2 linked regions of the Lonchura striata genome follow. The protein of the gene in region 1 purifies or fractionates together with the protein of each later gene. This does not show direct contact. Links are inferred from orthologs where the notes say so. Each region holds a gene or a part of one and is shown in the gene's direction. Other genes may lie near its edges.

The links.
Region 2: the proteins of LZTR1 (region 1) and RIT1 purify together in Homo sapiens (affinity purification with mass spectrometry; 3 studies listed by BioGRID and IntAct, counting the BioPlex papers as one, with this or other methods). This does not show direct contact. The link is inferred for Lonchura striata from reciprocal best matches to the Homo sapiens genes LZTR1 and RIT1.

What each region holds. Positions count from the first base shown.
Region 1 is NC_134632.1:344,370-352,345, reverse strand, and holds the start of LZTR1 (leucine-zipper-like transcriptional regulator 1), read left to right. Parts: upstream 1-4,747; 5' UTR 4,748-4,795; coding exon 4,796-4,971; intron 4,972-5,043; coding exon 5,044-5,106; intron 5,107-5,541; coding exon 5,542-5,598; intron 5,599-6,201; coding exon 6,202-6,281; intron 6,282-6,635; coding exon 6,636-6,744; intron 6,745-7,976. Other genes in the region: IPO9 (importin-9), read left to right, coding at 668-744, 1,361-1,471. UniProt on the Homo sapiens protein: Substrate-specific adapter of a BCR (BTB-CUL3-RBX1) E3 ubiquitin-protein ligase complex that mediates ubiquitination of Ras (K-Ras/KRAS, N-Ras/NRAS and H-Ras/HRAS).
Region 2 is NC_134635.1:2,021,606-2,029,005, reverse strand, and holds the start of RIT1 (GTP-binding protein Rit1), read left to right. Parts: upstream 1-4,246; 5' UTR 4,247-4,277; coding exon 4,278-4,368; intron 4,369-5,473; coding exon 5,474-5,530; intron 5,531-7,400. Other genes in the region: KHDC4 (KH homology domain-containing protein 4), read left to right, coding at 240-331, 1,313-1,512.

The sequences.
Region 1 (7,976 bases):
CTCCGGGATTGTGAATAAGGACTTTCTGGAGAAGCCATGGCTTTGAGCAACATGGTGATTAAATTGCTGCATTATAAATAAAATCACCTGGGAGTCCACATACTTGCACTGGCTTCACACCTAGGATGTTTCTGCAGGTATTTCTTCTAAAGAAAAAATTGCTGCTCAGGGTGTAAGTGTGACCTCAGTGTGACTGTCCTAGGGATGGGTGAGCTCGTTTGTGGAGGGACCTTGAGGAACAAGTGCTGCATAGAGAGATGAGCAGGTGCATCATCTCTCAGGTTCATGTAGCCTCAGAAGGGAGAACTTTACAGGGAAACAGCGAAGGATGCTGCTCACATTAGCTCAGAACTGGCAAAGTGTCACCCTCACGTGGGATTAAGGCAGAAGATCCTGGTGCATGGAATTCCCAATCCTGCCTGTGAGTGTCCCATGTGTGCTTGACTCACCTGCATGTTCCTCAAGCCTCCACTGACCCTGGTTCTGGGCTTCAGTGGTTTCTATCACATGACCTAAAGAAGTGAATATTCTGGATACAATTTTCTTTTTTCCCAGCAGTGCTTAAACTATTTACTTTTGGATCCTTGGGTTTCAGTAGCTTAATAGAAAATTTTCTGAGATAGTCTGCTCTTTTTGATGTTAAAACCTGCTGATTTGCCTCTGACAGATGAAGATTACTATGAAGATGATGAAGAAGATGATCCAGATGCATTAAAGGACCCTCTTTACCAAATAGATCTCCAGGTGATGTTCTGGAATGAGGGGTTTTATCAGATTCCAATCATTCTCTATAAACTTTAATTTTTTAAGTGTTGTACTTTAACAAATATGTAAGCACTGGAAACACCAGTCATGAACATCCAGAAAGGCACTCTGTAAATTGAAATTACTTTGGAAAGGGCCAAATGTCCCAAGAATTTATGGAGCTATTTTTCCTTATCATTAATATTTATAACATGGAAATGTGAATGAACAAAACTCTTTGAACAGAGGGGGATGAGACTTTTCTACCTGTGAGCTTCACTGCTACTGGCAGAAGTCAGGAGTAGGTTGGAGAGTGAACATGACAGAATTTCATATTCCACTTGGAGATGCTTCCACTCAGTCAGCCCCTGTGTTACCCTTTGCTCCTGCTTTTCCCACCACCTGCAGCTGTTGAAGGGCCCTTCCCTCTGCTCCCATCCTTTTTCCTCTGCTCCAGCCCTTCCCTCTGGTTCCACTCCTCCTCCTGCACCACTCCTTTCTGTTCCCTTCAGTCCTGGGGTGTTACTTGGTGCATGTTGGGCTGTGTCTCCTGACACGTGGAAGCAGCAGGATTTCCCAGGAGGGTGGTGCTGACAGGTGTTTCTGTCCCTCCCAGGCCTATCTCACCGACTTCCTGTGCCAGTTTGCACAGCAGCCCTGCTATGCCATGTTCTCTGACCACCTCAACGACAACGAGAAGCGAGTGCTGCAGGCCATCGGGATATAGACCCACTCCAGAGACCACACCTGCCAGATCTGAACAATTGGTTCTTTTTGGCTAATTCCACGTTTTATGATAGGACATAAAACATTTTCCAGTGTCTGCCTGCCTTGTTCCAGGTTGACAATGGCCTCATTGTTTTGAGCCTCATCTTAACGCACATCTAAGGATGCTAAGGAAAGGAATCCTGAGAAAGGATCATTGCACATTGGTCTCACCACAGGAGCACTTTCATTTTCCACAGTAACTTTCCAAGAAGTTCCTAAAGATAAAAATAATGTGTCCTTAATATTTTTAAAAGGAAACTGTCTCTACCTGTAAGAGGCACTTTGAGTTTCCCACAGCACAGTTCGACAGGGAAAGGAACCGGATCACTTACGGATTGCTTGAGAAGTGGGAAGGTTGTTCCTCTTGGCTGTTCCTCCTCACCTAACACAGGGTAAATATCTTGATCCTACAACGTGACTTCTTTTATAGAACCACAGACTCTTTTCAGAGCAGCCTGGATCGGATGGAGCCTGTTCACAGGAGTCTGGAGGGGAAGCTGAGACAATGAACCTGAGTGTGTATCTTCTTTCCTGGTGTGGATGGGGCTCTGTCGCTCACGTCTCCCATGGGAGCAGTTCTTCACTAACACTTGTGTGTGCACATGCTCAGAGGAAGCCATCACTTAAATTTCTGTTCCTGTGGCCTGTGGCTATGAAAGACTGGTTTTCTGGAACAAAAGGAGCCACAGTTTTTAGGGGAAAAAAACAAACTGATTGTATTTAACAGATTTACTTAATGACAGCCACTCTAAACTACTTTGCTTTTTTCACACTCCCGTGTGTATTTTTATAGAGTGGCAAAATAGCATTTGCAAATTGATTTCCCCATGAGAACAGTGTGATCTATCTCACAACACCTCTCTGCCTTTGGTTCCCTTTCGGGGAAAATGAAATAAAACTATTAAAATGTACATTGGTATCCTTCTTATAAAACAGATTTAAAAGGAACTTGTGCTTGATTCCTGAAGTCACTTTTTAAAGACGTATTTCTCCTTATGACACGTTCTGTATGTTCTGCCAGAGGATATTGGGGTATTTCATGGGAGTCACCTGGACAGAAAGGGAGTCCTGTGCTGTATGTATCTGCTGCTTAAAATGGGCTGAGCCATTACAGTTTCCTTTTAAGAAAGGCACTTGCTGTTCCTTTGTGGAATCATTTGCTTCGACATTGTATCAAAACCTCCATAACCTGGAGTCCTTCTGTCTCTCACTGGTCTCACCTTGTGCCTGTGAGTGAGCAGAGCCAGGGGGAACCCCCCATCCCCTGCAGACTCCTCTGAGCCAATCTTAAATTTTTGAGTGCTTAAGTATATGAGAAGCAGAGTTTGAAGCCTGATTTTTGTGTCTAATAAGGTACAAGCTCTTCCCATGCCATTGAGTCTCAGTGTCTTTCTTCCCTGGGGATTCTCTGGTCTGTCGGAATATGTAACAAACAGGGTGCCCTGACCCTCCTGTCATACTCAGTAGGAGTTTGGTTCTGAGGCCTTTGCTCTCAGCTTCCACTGAAAGGAACAAGTTAAAGCAAACAGTGCGGTCTTGAAACTACCAAGAAGCTCATGGCTGCAGTGGTGTGTCCACATGGCTGTTCCAGAAGGATCAGGAATGTCCTCAGAAGAATTGGTCCCAGCTCTGGGAAGAGGCAGGACCAGCTTTTTTTGCCGTGTGTGTCAGCAGCAGAGGCACAAACCCAGCCATCCATACTTGCACAAAAGTGGATGTCAATGTCTGGAAGCATTGAGGTGTGTTCGGGGTGTCAGGAGTAAACAGCACACTGAAGGCTGGTTAGCCTGGGCTCACAGAGGTGCTGCTTGGGGGTTCGTGTGCACTCCAGTGGGAGCTGGAATACTGTGCATCAGGGGGGGCTTTAGCCAGGGCAGAGGGTGAATTTAAACAAGTCCATGAAAAATGAGGCTGACACTGAACTGAAACATCTAAAGGTGCCTGTGTCATTGTAAGTTCCAAAAGATGGATGGGTCAGTGCCATATTCCTGCTGGAACTCATCCATATTTTGGGTAAAACCAGCTTTGATTTGCAGTTATCAGTGTTTTTTTTAAACGAGTGTGAGAAGGGAAGGATGGGGGGTAAGTGGCATTGTCTCTACGTCTAAAGATTACTTACCTGAGTTTCCCACAGTACAGGTGGACAGAACAAAGGCACTGTGTCTTTTACAGATTGCTTGAGAAGTGGGAAGGCTGTTCCTCTTGGCTGAACTGGTGCTCTGCACTGTCCCCCCTCCATCCTCTGCCAGATGCAGCCTGAGCTGGCTGGGCATGGTGCTGCTGCATGGCAGCTGAAGCTTGGGACCAGCCCGAGGGGCAGGACTGGCACAGGGATGGTGTGGTTGTGCAGCAACCCTCACCGTGTGCAGGGTGGTCTTGGCAAGAAATGCTGTGACTCGAGCAATCCCTAGGAAGAGGCTGGATACGAACTGAGAGAGTGCACAAGGGAGATGGTTTGAGGGGCCTCAGCTGAGTCCTGCTGGTGCTCATGACTTTGTTGCTTTTCTGCTTAACCAGTCATCTTTCCTAAAAAAATTCTGAAGCTCACTCTGTGATGTGTCTTTATACAAGGATTGTGTTTGCTGGAGGGATTGTGCGAAAAAACCTCTGACAAGTAGCACAGTGATGGCTCAGGATGGAAACTGCTGGACTCTGAAGCAGTGTCTGAGCTCTGGTTTTGAGGCGCAGCACCATTGTGCTGTCTGGTGTTGCAATAATAGTCATAGAGGTGACTGACACCGTTTTAAGAAACATAAACTGAGGAAAACAAAGGATGGGCTGTGGGCTTTGCACAGCCGAGGGCACATGCCACTGCTGCCGTGGTGCCTGGCACGCACATCCCGCTCGGGACTCCTGTGGGTATGAGCTGACCATGTTTGCTCCCTGTTTACTCCGGAGCGCACCGCGGAGCTCCGGCCCTCACGGACCGTGTTAAAACAGCGACCGCCAGCTCGGACCCTGGAGCGAGACTTTATGCATTTTCATCAGTACTGTTCTTTTTTGGGAGTGGAGCTTTTTGAATTAACAAATCAACTCTAGTAGTGTAGCATCCCGCCCGGCTTCCCGCCCTTCAGCGCCCGTACCGGCTGGCTCGGGCCGCCCGCCCCTCTAGCGGTGCATGCTGGGGGCTGTAGTCCAGGGCTCGGCAGCTGCCAGGCCGCTGCGCCGGGCGCGGGGCACGCCGGGAGTTGTGGTCTGGCTGCTGGACCGCAGGCGCGCCGGAAGGCGGGCGCGCGGGGCGGGGCATGCCGGGAGCTGTAGTCTAAGGGGGCAGGCGTGGGCCATGGCGGCGGCCGCGGCCCCGGCGGGCGGCGCGGGGCGCTCGAAGGTGGCCCCGAGCGTGGACTTCGACCACAGCTGCTCGGACAGCGTCGAGTACTTAACCCTCAACTTCGGGCCCTTCGAGACCGTGCACCGCTGGCGCCGCCTCCCACCCTGCGACGAGTTCGTGGGGGCCCGGTGAGCTAGGGAGCGGACGGGATGGTTGGAGGGGGGCTCCCGGCGCCTCTGACCTGTCCGTGCCGCCCGCAGGCGCAGCAAACACACTGTGGTGGCTTATCGGGATGCGATCTACGTGTTCGGCGGGGACAACGGGTAAGGGGAGCCGGCAGCGCCGGGGTTAAGGGGAGGTGGGTGTGAGGGGAGATGGGTGTGAGGGGAACGGAGTTGTGAGGGGAGATGGGTGTGAGGGGAGATGGGTGTGAGGGGTGGTGGGTGTGTGAGGGGAGATGGGTGTGAGGGGTGGTGGGTGTGTGAGGGGAGATGGGTGTGAGGGGTGTGAGAGGAGGTGAGTGTGAGGGGAGATGGGTGTGAGGGGAACGGAGTTGTGAGGGGAGGTGGGTGTGAGGGGTGTGAGGGGAGGTGGGTGTGAGGGGAGATGGGTGTGAGGGGTGTGAGAGGAGGTGAGTGTGAGGGGAGATGGGTGTGAGGGGTGGTGGGTGTGTGAGGGGAGATGGGTGTGAGGGGTCCGTGGCCGCCCCTGTCCGGCCCCCGGCCTGGCTCAGCTGCTTCTCCCGTCCCTCCCCGCAGGAAGACGATGCTGAACGACCTGCTGCGCTTCGACGTGAAGGACTGCTCGTGGTGCAGGTGGGCAGCGCGGCCCCTCGCCGTCCCTGGTCGCTGGCAGGACCGGGACACGCCGTGGCTTCCCTCAGCACCTTGGGCTGGGTGTAAAAGTTTGTGCCGCTACCTGAGTACCCGAGAGGAAATGTCACCTCCTCCCAGCACTGTCACAGCTGCTCCCTGCCAGCCTGCTGTGTGCTGGGCCATCGGGGTTGTCGATCCTGCCCGAGGGGAGGCCGGGCAGCACAGCGAGGGAGGACCAGGGTCATTCTGTTCCTGCAGCTTGTGGGAGGGCAGAGGGACTGGGTGTGCTGCACCTCTCGGGCCAGGGAAGGTGCCAGGGGTCCTCACACCTTTCTTGGCTCCTTTGCTCTGCAGTAGGCAGCCTGTCTTATCTCACTTGTGTCTCACTTTCCAGCTCTGCCAAATAGATTTCAGCAGCAGCATGTTCGTAACCATTTATTTCTGTTCTATAAAATCTTAGTGCAATCAACTATCCAAAACCAGTGAAACACTCAGGAGCAAAAGAATAATTTCTAATAGTTGTTTCTTTTCTTAGTCTGCACATTAGCTCTGTGCCCAAAGCACAACCAGTGTGTTTGACTGCTGCTGTTGTGACTTGTGCAGGGCTTTCACGACGGGGACGCCGCCGGCACCACGGTACCACCACTCCGCTGTGGTCTACGGGAGCAGCATGTTCGTTTTTGGTAAGGCAGCAGCAGGCTGTAGTACAAGTGGTAGATGTGCTGCTGTACTGGTTTGGAAAAAGAATGAGAGATCTTTAGGAGGTGTCAGAGGTCTCATTCAGTAGCAAATCCAGTATTTTTCATAGCTGTGATTTCAACTTTAGTTTGGAAAGATGGCGCTGTTCTGTTTAAAGTAAAGACTATTGAAGCTCATTGCCATAGTGATTCTTTAGGAGGAGTGGAAGAGTAGTCTCCTTCTGTAGTAGTCTGTTAGCCAAACATTTCATGCAATCTAAAGTTTCTCCTAATGCAACGCCTGGGAGTGTGTGTGTGTGCTCCGTTGCCTGGGAGGCTAATGGAATTGTTGTTGTCCAGGTGGTTATACTGGAGATATCTATTCCAATTCAAACCTGAAGAATAAAAACGACCTCTTTGAGTATAAGTTTGCAACTGGGCAGTGGACAGAGTGGAAGACTGAGGGAAGGTAAGAGCTGTATCATTGCCTTCTGCTTCGGGGGACTGAGGGTAGCTTGGCATCATTTCACATAGCAGTCAGACCTACTTACAGTGCTCATGTTAGGCCTGCAGCATGATTGCTGCTCTGCTTTCTCAATTAACATTTTTTGGTTCTACAGGAGTTTTTTTGGAAGGCCTCCATTCCAGAATGCACTGTAATGGAAATTCATCCAAATTCCACTCTTCATGTTTCAGGTCCATGACAGAAGGAATGGGGGCAAAAGGAGTTGGGTTTTTTCCTGAATTGTTTCAGTTTCAAGGATAGCTTGGAAATTGTTGATCCCTCATGAAGAAAAGGGATCCTGAGAGTCAGCGTTCCAAGGAAAATCAGAATCACTAAGACATTGCTTCCTAACGTTGACTCTGTGCACATTTCAGAATGCCATTTCTGACAATGATTGTGATCCAACTCTTTAGTGTTTATTACAAGGTCATGAACAGGATAAGGGGGAATGGCCTTATACTGGCAGAGCAAGGTTAGATGGGATATTGGGAGGGAAGGCTTGGCTGTGAGGTTGGTGAGGCCCTGGCACAGGTTGCCTGGAGCAGCTGTGGCTGCCCCATCCCTGGAAGTGTCCAAGGTCAGGTTAGATGGGACTTGGAGCAACCTGGGCTAGTGGAAGGTATCCCTGCCCATGACAGGGAGTGGGACTGGATGGGCTTTAAGGTCTCTTTCTACCCCAGACATTTCTGTGTTTACCACTCCCCAGTAGGGGTCATGTGGTGTCTTTACCTGCAGTCCTACACATAGCTGAAGTTTCTGGAATGCTGTTTTCAGTGGGGAGAGAGAAGGGAACTTTTGTTATTGTGATTTGTGGAGAGGGGTGAGGAATGTCCCATCCGTTCTTGTGTTACTGTTGCTCACCTCTGATGAGCACGCTATATTTCAGAACAGAGACTCTATTAGTAATATCTCTTTCTGGTTTATTCTGGTAACTTGGGACATTTTGGAGAGTAATTCTTACTCAGTTTATTCACATTTTGCTTGTTGTTCCCCAGAGTTAATGTTCAAGCTTCACAATGACCTCAGATAAGCCAACAGATGCCTTGTGGCATCACAGGTTTGTTCAGCCTGGCTGATTTAGTTAAAACAACAAAGATTGTGGAAGAGAAATCATAGGTTGGATCTTTCATTGTCGGCACTACATCTTGAATGATCCCAAATGAGTATCGTGAGCTCTGTTCTGATCTTGTTTCTGT
Region 2 (7,400 bases), on another chromosome or scaffold:
TCCATCCATGGAATCCATCCATCATCCATCCATCCATCCATCCCTGTCCCATTTGGAAGTAAGAATTCTGGGAGAGCTCCAGGTAGAACCCATCACCCATTCCTGTCACAGTCACTGGATGAATCAGGGAATTTAAAATCCAACTCCTCACGCCAAGCTCTGAGTTAGGAATTGTGTTTTTATTCCTTTTGGCTCTTAGCTTGGTTTAAAAAAAGAACAAAAAATCTTGTTTTGAACAGGCAGTTGATGCCTCCGCCAGCTTTTCCTGTCACTGGAATGAAATCGGAATCGGAAGAAAGAAAAGGTGCGGGGTCTTTACCAGGCAACCATGGTGAGTGCAATGGGTCAAATGCCCTTGCAAGTCCAGTTTCCTTTCCCAAACCCCTTTCTAAGTCCATTTTCCTCTCCCAAATGCTGCTGGTTTTAACAAGTGGGGTTTTTTTGGCTGTTCTGTGTCAAAGTGCAAAGCAGGTGACACTGCACTGCTCTAAAATCACTCGAAAATCACTCGAAAATCACTGGTGCTTGCTGTGGTTATACACACAGGTTGCTTCTCCAAGCTTTAATAAATATCTGTGAAATCAGAGGAGTTTGATTAAAGTGAGGGACTAAAAACAGGGAGATTTAACCCGTCAGGCAGCACAGAATGTGGTTGTGCTGTGGCTTTGCATTGTGAGCAGCTGCCTCAGAGGCACTGAGGAACGTGGGGGGAATTCTGAATTCTGCTCGGGTGGGGATTTACACACATTTCTGAGAGCAGACAACACAAGTGCTGTCAGGATTTCTGTCAGGATTTCATCTTTTCTGTCACTCAGCAAGGGTTTGAACTCGGTCAGACTTGCAGCTGTTGAAATCTGCAGGCTTTCAGCTCTGCAGGGACATCACCCAGCCTGGTTAACCTTAGCTCTTCTGCAGTCTTGCTCTCCTGTTAGCTTCCTTTTGAACAAAATTTCTACTTTTTCTTTACATGTTGATCTCTTTAACGGGTGAAATTGCCCTCACTGAGAGCCATTTGCTAACTTTACCTTTTCTGTGTGTTTCTTTCTTGTTTCTCTGTTCTCTTACATGGTTCTGATGGATCACATGGCTGTTGCTGGTGCTGTTTCCTGTGGCCTTCGACCTTGGATGACCATTGGCCTTGTGACCTCAAAATGGTGTCCAACTAACAATTTACAATTAACATCTTTTTTTATTATTATTAACTCGTTTTTGGGGCATTTTATCTCTTTTTTTTTTGTTTTGTTCGTTTTGTTTTTATTTTTTTCCTTCTCGGGGGGGCTGGGGCGGGGCTTGTTTTGTTTTCCCCTCCTAGATCATCAAGCCAAGAAGATGAAAACTGCAGAGAAGGGCTTTGGATTAGTGGCCTATGCTGGAGATTCATCAGATGAAGAGGAGGAGCACGGTGGCCATAAAAACGCAAGTACTTTTTCACAGGGCTGGAGTTTGGGGTACCAGTACCCATCCTCACAACAGCGAGCTAAACAACAGATGCCTTTCTGGATGGCACCCTAAAAAAAAACAAACTGCACAAGAGTTTTCATTCATCTGGTTTTTTCCCCCCTCTAGCAATAATGCATGTGTATTCCACAATGGACTTGGCAAAGACGTGTTGTTTTTACATTTGCAGAAGCCAATTTCCCCTTGGAAGGGCTCCATTGTTTTTTAAATCCTCATTTTGGCAGTGTGGTTGTTAATTTTAAAAAGGAGTATTTGGAATAGCATCCTGACTGGGCTAATCCCTTGTGCAAGGGAGAAGTGCTGTAAAGAGGAACCAGGGAAGCCTCTTGGGCCGTATTTTTCATTTCTCCCAGATAACTGAAAGGGAAGAGTCAGTGACACTGACTTCACTCTGCATTTGCATTTTTGGAGTGCTTCTGCTGTCAGCCCCAGTGATCTACTGGTGACTCAGCCTCAATTTTGGACTTTCACCAGAGGGAAGGAACACCCAACCAGCAGCCGCGAAAAACTTGAGCATCACATTTGGAAAAGCCTCGTTTTTATTTCAAACATCTGTCACTCCGCTTGGTTTTATTTTGAGACGTGATTTCACCAATCCCACGAGTTCTCGTTCTAGCCAGGTGTTGGGGCGGGGGGATGCTCAGGTTTTTGGATAGGTCCACGTCGCTCCAGGTGGACTTGGCACTACAGCCCTAGAGCTGAATTATTTCCAGTCACCCCAGGACTCAAACCAACCCAGCAGCAATTCCTTTTCCAGAGGCTCGCCCCCATCTCTTCCCTCATTCACTGGATTCCACCAGAGCCAGAAGGTTCCACGGTGGTTTCCCAAAAGGCAGCAGCTCCTGCCTCACGTGCAGAAGAATTTTGAGTATGAAAATGAATTTTTGGGTTGTTTCTGCGCTGTTTTGGACACAAACTGCACCGGGGGGTGGGCTGGTGCAGACAGAACTCTTGAACAGAGCAGGGGCTGCTCCAAGGGGGCTGCTCCAAGGCACGGGGCAGTTTTTGGGACATGTTTTGAGGAGGGATGGCTCGCCTGTACAAACCTCAGCTTTCCGACGCGTTGTAAATAATTAGAACCGTACTTTGGTTATAAATAAATGTATAAATATTCTGCTCCCTGCCGCTGCTTTGAGGTTGGAGTGGGGTTTGGAGGAGGGAGACGCTGGGCTGGGAGAGCCCCGGGGCGGGGAGGGGATCCGGGCTCGGGGTGCCCCAGGATCGGGGGAGCCCCGGGGGGCCCGGGCTGGGGGTCGGTGTTGGGGGGTCCCTGGGGATTGGGGACGGGGAAGGAGTCGCAGGCTGGAACGGGAGCGGGACGGGAGTCGAGGGGGTGCGGGGCCGGAGGGTGTCCCGGTGTGTCCCGGTGTGTCCCGTCCTGTCCCTGCCATGTCCCGGTGTATCCCGTTGTTTCCCCGTCCTGTTCTGTGCTGTCCCCGCTGTGTCCCGGTGTATCCCCGTGCTGTCCCGGTTCTGTCCTGGTGTATCCCCACCATGTTCCAGTTGTGTCCCGGTTCTGTCCCGTCCCGATGTGTCCCCGCCGTGTCCCGGTTCTGTCCCGTCGTGCGCTGTCCCCACCGGGCTGCCGTCGCTCCCGCCATGTCCCGGTTGTGTCCCAGTTGTGTCCTGCGCTGTCCCGTTCTGTCCCGGTTCCGTCCCGCGCTGTCCCGGTTCTGTCCCGCGCTGTCCCGGTTCTGTCCCGGTTCCGTCCCACGCTGTCCCGTTCTGTCCCGGTTCCGTCCCGCGCTGTCCCGATTTTGTCCCACGCTCTGTCCCGTTCCATCCCGCGCTGTCCCGGTTCTGTCCTGTGCCGTCCCGCTCTGTCCCGGTTGTGTCCCGTGCCATCCCGCGCTGTCCCGTCCCGTCCCGCGCCGTCCCGCGCTGTCCCGGTTGTGTCCCGGTTCTGTCCCGCTCTGTCCCGTCCCGCGCTGTCCCGGTTGTGTCCCGGTTCTGTCCCGCTCTGTCCCGTCCCGCGCTGTCCCGGTTCGTCCCGCGCTGTCCCGCGCTGTCCCGGTTCTGTCCCGGTTGTGTCCCGGTTCTGTCCCGCTCTGTCCCGTCCCGTCCCGCTCTGTCCCGGTTCTGTCCCGGTTGTGTCCGGGTTCTGTCCCGCTCCGTCCCGCTCTGTCCCGCTCTGTCCCGTCCCGCTCCGTCCCGCGCCGTCCCGCGCTGTCCCGGTTGTGTCCCGGTTCTGTCCCGCTCTGTCCCGTCCCGCGCTGTCCCGGTTCGTCCCGTGCCGTCCCGCGCTGTCCCGTTCCGTCCCGCTCCGTCCCGTCCCGTCCCGCCCCGTCCCGCGCTGTCCCGGTTGTGTCCCGGTTCTGTCCCGCTCTGTCCCGTCCCGCGCTGTCCCCGCCGGTTCGTCCCGCTCTGTCCCGCGCTGTCCCGGTTCTGTCCCGCTCTGTCCCGTCCCGCTCTGTCCCGCTCTGTCCCGGTTGTGTCCCGTGCCATCCCGCGCTGTCCCGGTTGTGTCCCGCGCTGTCCCGCTCTGTCCCGCTCTGTCCCGGTTGTGTCCCGTGCCATCCCGCGCTGTCCCGGTTGTGTCCCGCGCTGTCCCGCTCTGTCCCGCTCTGTCCCGGTTGTGTCCCGTGCCATCCCGCGCTGTCCCGGTTGTGTCCCGCGCTGTCCCGCTCTGTCCCGCTCTGTCCCGGTTGTGTCCCGTGCCATCCCGCGCTGTCCCGGTTGTGTCCCGCGCTGTCCCGCTCTGTCCCGCGCTGTCCCCGCCGGGCCGCCGTCGCCGGGCCGGCCCGCGCGCTGAGGGCGGAGGCGCCGCCGCCATTTTGGCGGCGCTGCGAGCGGGGCCGGGCGGCGCGGAGGGGCCGGCGATGGAGCCCGCAGCCCGCCCGGGCGGCGGCGCGGGCCAGTCCCGGGAGTACAAACTGGTGATGCTGGGCGCGGGCGGCGTCGGCAAGAGCGGTGAGCGCGGGGCCGGGCCGGGCCGAGCCGGGCCGGGCCGAGCCGAGCCGGGCCGGGGCGAGCCGAGCCGGGCCGGGCCGGGGCGAGCCGCGCTCCGCACCACGGCCCCGGTCTGGGCGCGGCGCCGCTGCTCCCGAGAGGGGCCGGCCCCTCCCGAGCCTCCCGGGATGTCTCCGCCGGGCTGTCCCGGCCCATCCCGGGCTGTCCCGAGCCATCCCCGTCCCTTCCGGGGTGACCCCGCCGGGCTGTCCCGGCCCATCCCGGGATGTCCCGGCTCCTCTTGGGACATCCTGGCTCCTCCCGAGCTGTCCCGAGCCATCCCGGGATATCCCGGCCCCTTCCCGTCCCTCCCGGGGTGTCCCCTCCGGGCTGTCCCGAGCCATCCCGGGATGTCCCGGCTCCTCCCGAGCTGTCCCGAGCCAACCCAGGCTGTCCCCTCCGGGCTGTCCCGGCCCATCCCGGGGTGTCCCAACCCCTCCCCAATCCTCCCGGGCTATCCCCGCCGGGCTGTCCCGGCTCCTCCCGAGATGTCCCGGCTCATCCCGGGGTGTCCCGATCCTCCCGGGGTGTCCCTGCTGGGCTGTCCCGGCTCCTCTTGGGACATCCCGGCTCCTCCCGGGCTGTCCCGACCCTCCCGGGTGTCCCCTCCCGAGCTGTCCCGGCCCATCCCGAGATATCCCGGCACCTCCCCGTGTCCCGGCTCCTCCCGAGCCATCCCCGATCCTCCCAGGGTGTCCCACCGGGGTGTCCTGACCCATCCCGAGATATCCCGACCCTTCCCGGGCTGTCCCGAGCCATCCCGACCCCTCCCCGTCCCTCCTGGCGTGTCCCCGCCAGGTTGTCTCGGCTCTTCCCGAGATGTCCCGGCCCATCCCGGCATGTCCCGGCCCATCCCAGGATGTCTTCTCCGGGCTGTCCCGACCCCTCCCGGGCTGTCCCGGGCCTTCCCGGGCTGTCCCGGGCCCCGCCTGCCGGTGTCCCGGAGCTGGTCCCGCCTGGGTGCGGGTGGAGCATCCCCGGGCCGGTTCTGTGCCGTGGCTGCGGGGTAAGCATGCGATCAGCTGTGAGCTGGGCTGCTCAGTTCTTCCCCGCTTTCTTCTTGCAGCCATGACCATGCAGTTCATCAGTCACCGCTTCCCAGAGGACCACGACCCCACCATCGGTGAGGAAAACGTCTTTTCTGTTCACTCGTTCTGTTCGTTCAGTGCAGTCCATTGCTTTAAAATATTCAATTGTAAGATATCTCTAAATCTGCCTGGAGATGGATCTTTGATCCCTCATCAGGACGAGCACTCCCAGCAGGTCAGGGAGGGATCCAGGGAGTGCTGAGCCTCTGGAGTGCCGTGTCCAGCTCTGGGACCCTGAGCACAGCAGGTCAGGGAGCTCCTGGAGGGGCTCAAAGATGCTGAAGGGCCTGGAGGGTCCCTGCCCAGGAAAGGCTGAGGGAGCTGGGGCTGCTCAGCCTGGAGAGGAGCCCCAGCTGAGAGGGGCCTCAGCCCTCAATGGCCCTGGGTGTCCCCGATATCCCTGGGTGTCCCTGGGTGTCTCTGGCTGTCCCTGAGTGTCCCTGGGTGTCCCTGTGTGTCCCTGAGTGTCCCTGGGTGTCTCTGAGTGTCCCTGTCTGTCCCTGGGTGTCTCTGGGTTACTGTGGGTGTTCCTAGGTGACCTCAGGTGTCTCTGTGTGTCCCTGGGTTTCCGTGGATGTCCCTGGGTGTCCCTGGGTGTGTCTGGATTTCCGTGGGTGTTGTCCCTGTGTGTCTCTGGCTGTCCCTGTCTCTCTCTGGGTGTCCTTGGCTGTCTCTGGATGTCTCTGGGTTTCCATGGATGTCCATGAGTGTCCCTGGCTGTCCTGTGTGTCCCTGTCCATCCCTGGCTGTCCCTGTGTGTCCCTGGCTCTCCCTGTCCATCCCAGTCCGTCCCAGTCCGTCCCAGTCCGTCCCAGTCCGTCCCAGTCCATCCCAGTCCGTCCCTGTCCATCCCAGTCTGTCCCAGTCCATCCCAGTCCGTCCCAGTCCGTCCCTGTCTGTCCCAGTCCATCCCAGTCTGTCCCTGTTCATCCCAGTCATTCCCTGTCCATCCCAGTCCATCCCAGTCCGTCCCAGTCCATCCCAGTCCGTCCCAGTCCATCCCAGTCCATCCCAGTCCGTCCCAGTCCGTCCCAGTCCATCCCAGTCTGTCCCAGTCCGTCCCAGTCCGTCCCAGTCCGTCCCAGTCCATCCCAGTCTGTCCCAGTCCATCCCAGTCCATCCCAGTCCATCCCAGTCCATCCCTGTGTCCCCAGGCCCTGCCCCAGCCCCAGCGCTGCCCCAGAGCCCCGGGCAGGGCCGAGCCCAGGAGCTGCCCCTGCCCAGGAGGCAGAACTGCTGCCCTGGGCAGTGCCAGCCCTGGGCAGAGCCCGGAGAGGCTGCGGAGCGTCCAGAGCCGCCTGGCCACCGCCCCGTGCCCCGTGCCCCGTGCCCTGCAGGTGATCTGATCTGCTGTGCTCCCTTCCAGCCTGAACCCTCTCGGTGCTTCTGTGATTTCAGGCTTCTGAGAGTGGGGTGTGAATCCTGAGTTTCAGTTCTTTACTCATTTTCCATCCATCCACTCAGGGCATGCCCTGTGTCTGTCTGTTGGCAGCCAGGGCTTGAAACTGCTGCTGAGCCATTTTTAGTTGTCTGCTCACAAAATCCAGACTCTGTGCTGTGATCAGCTCTTTGCTGTTCACTTGTCAGGCCAAATTGTTCTCTGTGTTTGAGAAATTGAGAGGGGTGGAAGTGCTCAACGACTCACTCTGGTGCTGTAGAACCTCAGCAGCATCTCCAGGAGAAACCTGAACCAACAGTTACCCAGTGGAAGGAAAAGTGAGGGTAAAAAAGCCAAATTCTTGCTGAGAATGAGTTCCTAAAGTGTGGGAGTGCTGACTGAGAGGGACAGAATATTTTTGTATTTATATATTGATAGATCATTTTTATATGGTGTTTATAATAAATAATATTTACATATATAATTATATTTACCTGTATAACATTTATGAATGAAACATATATGTT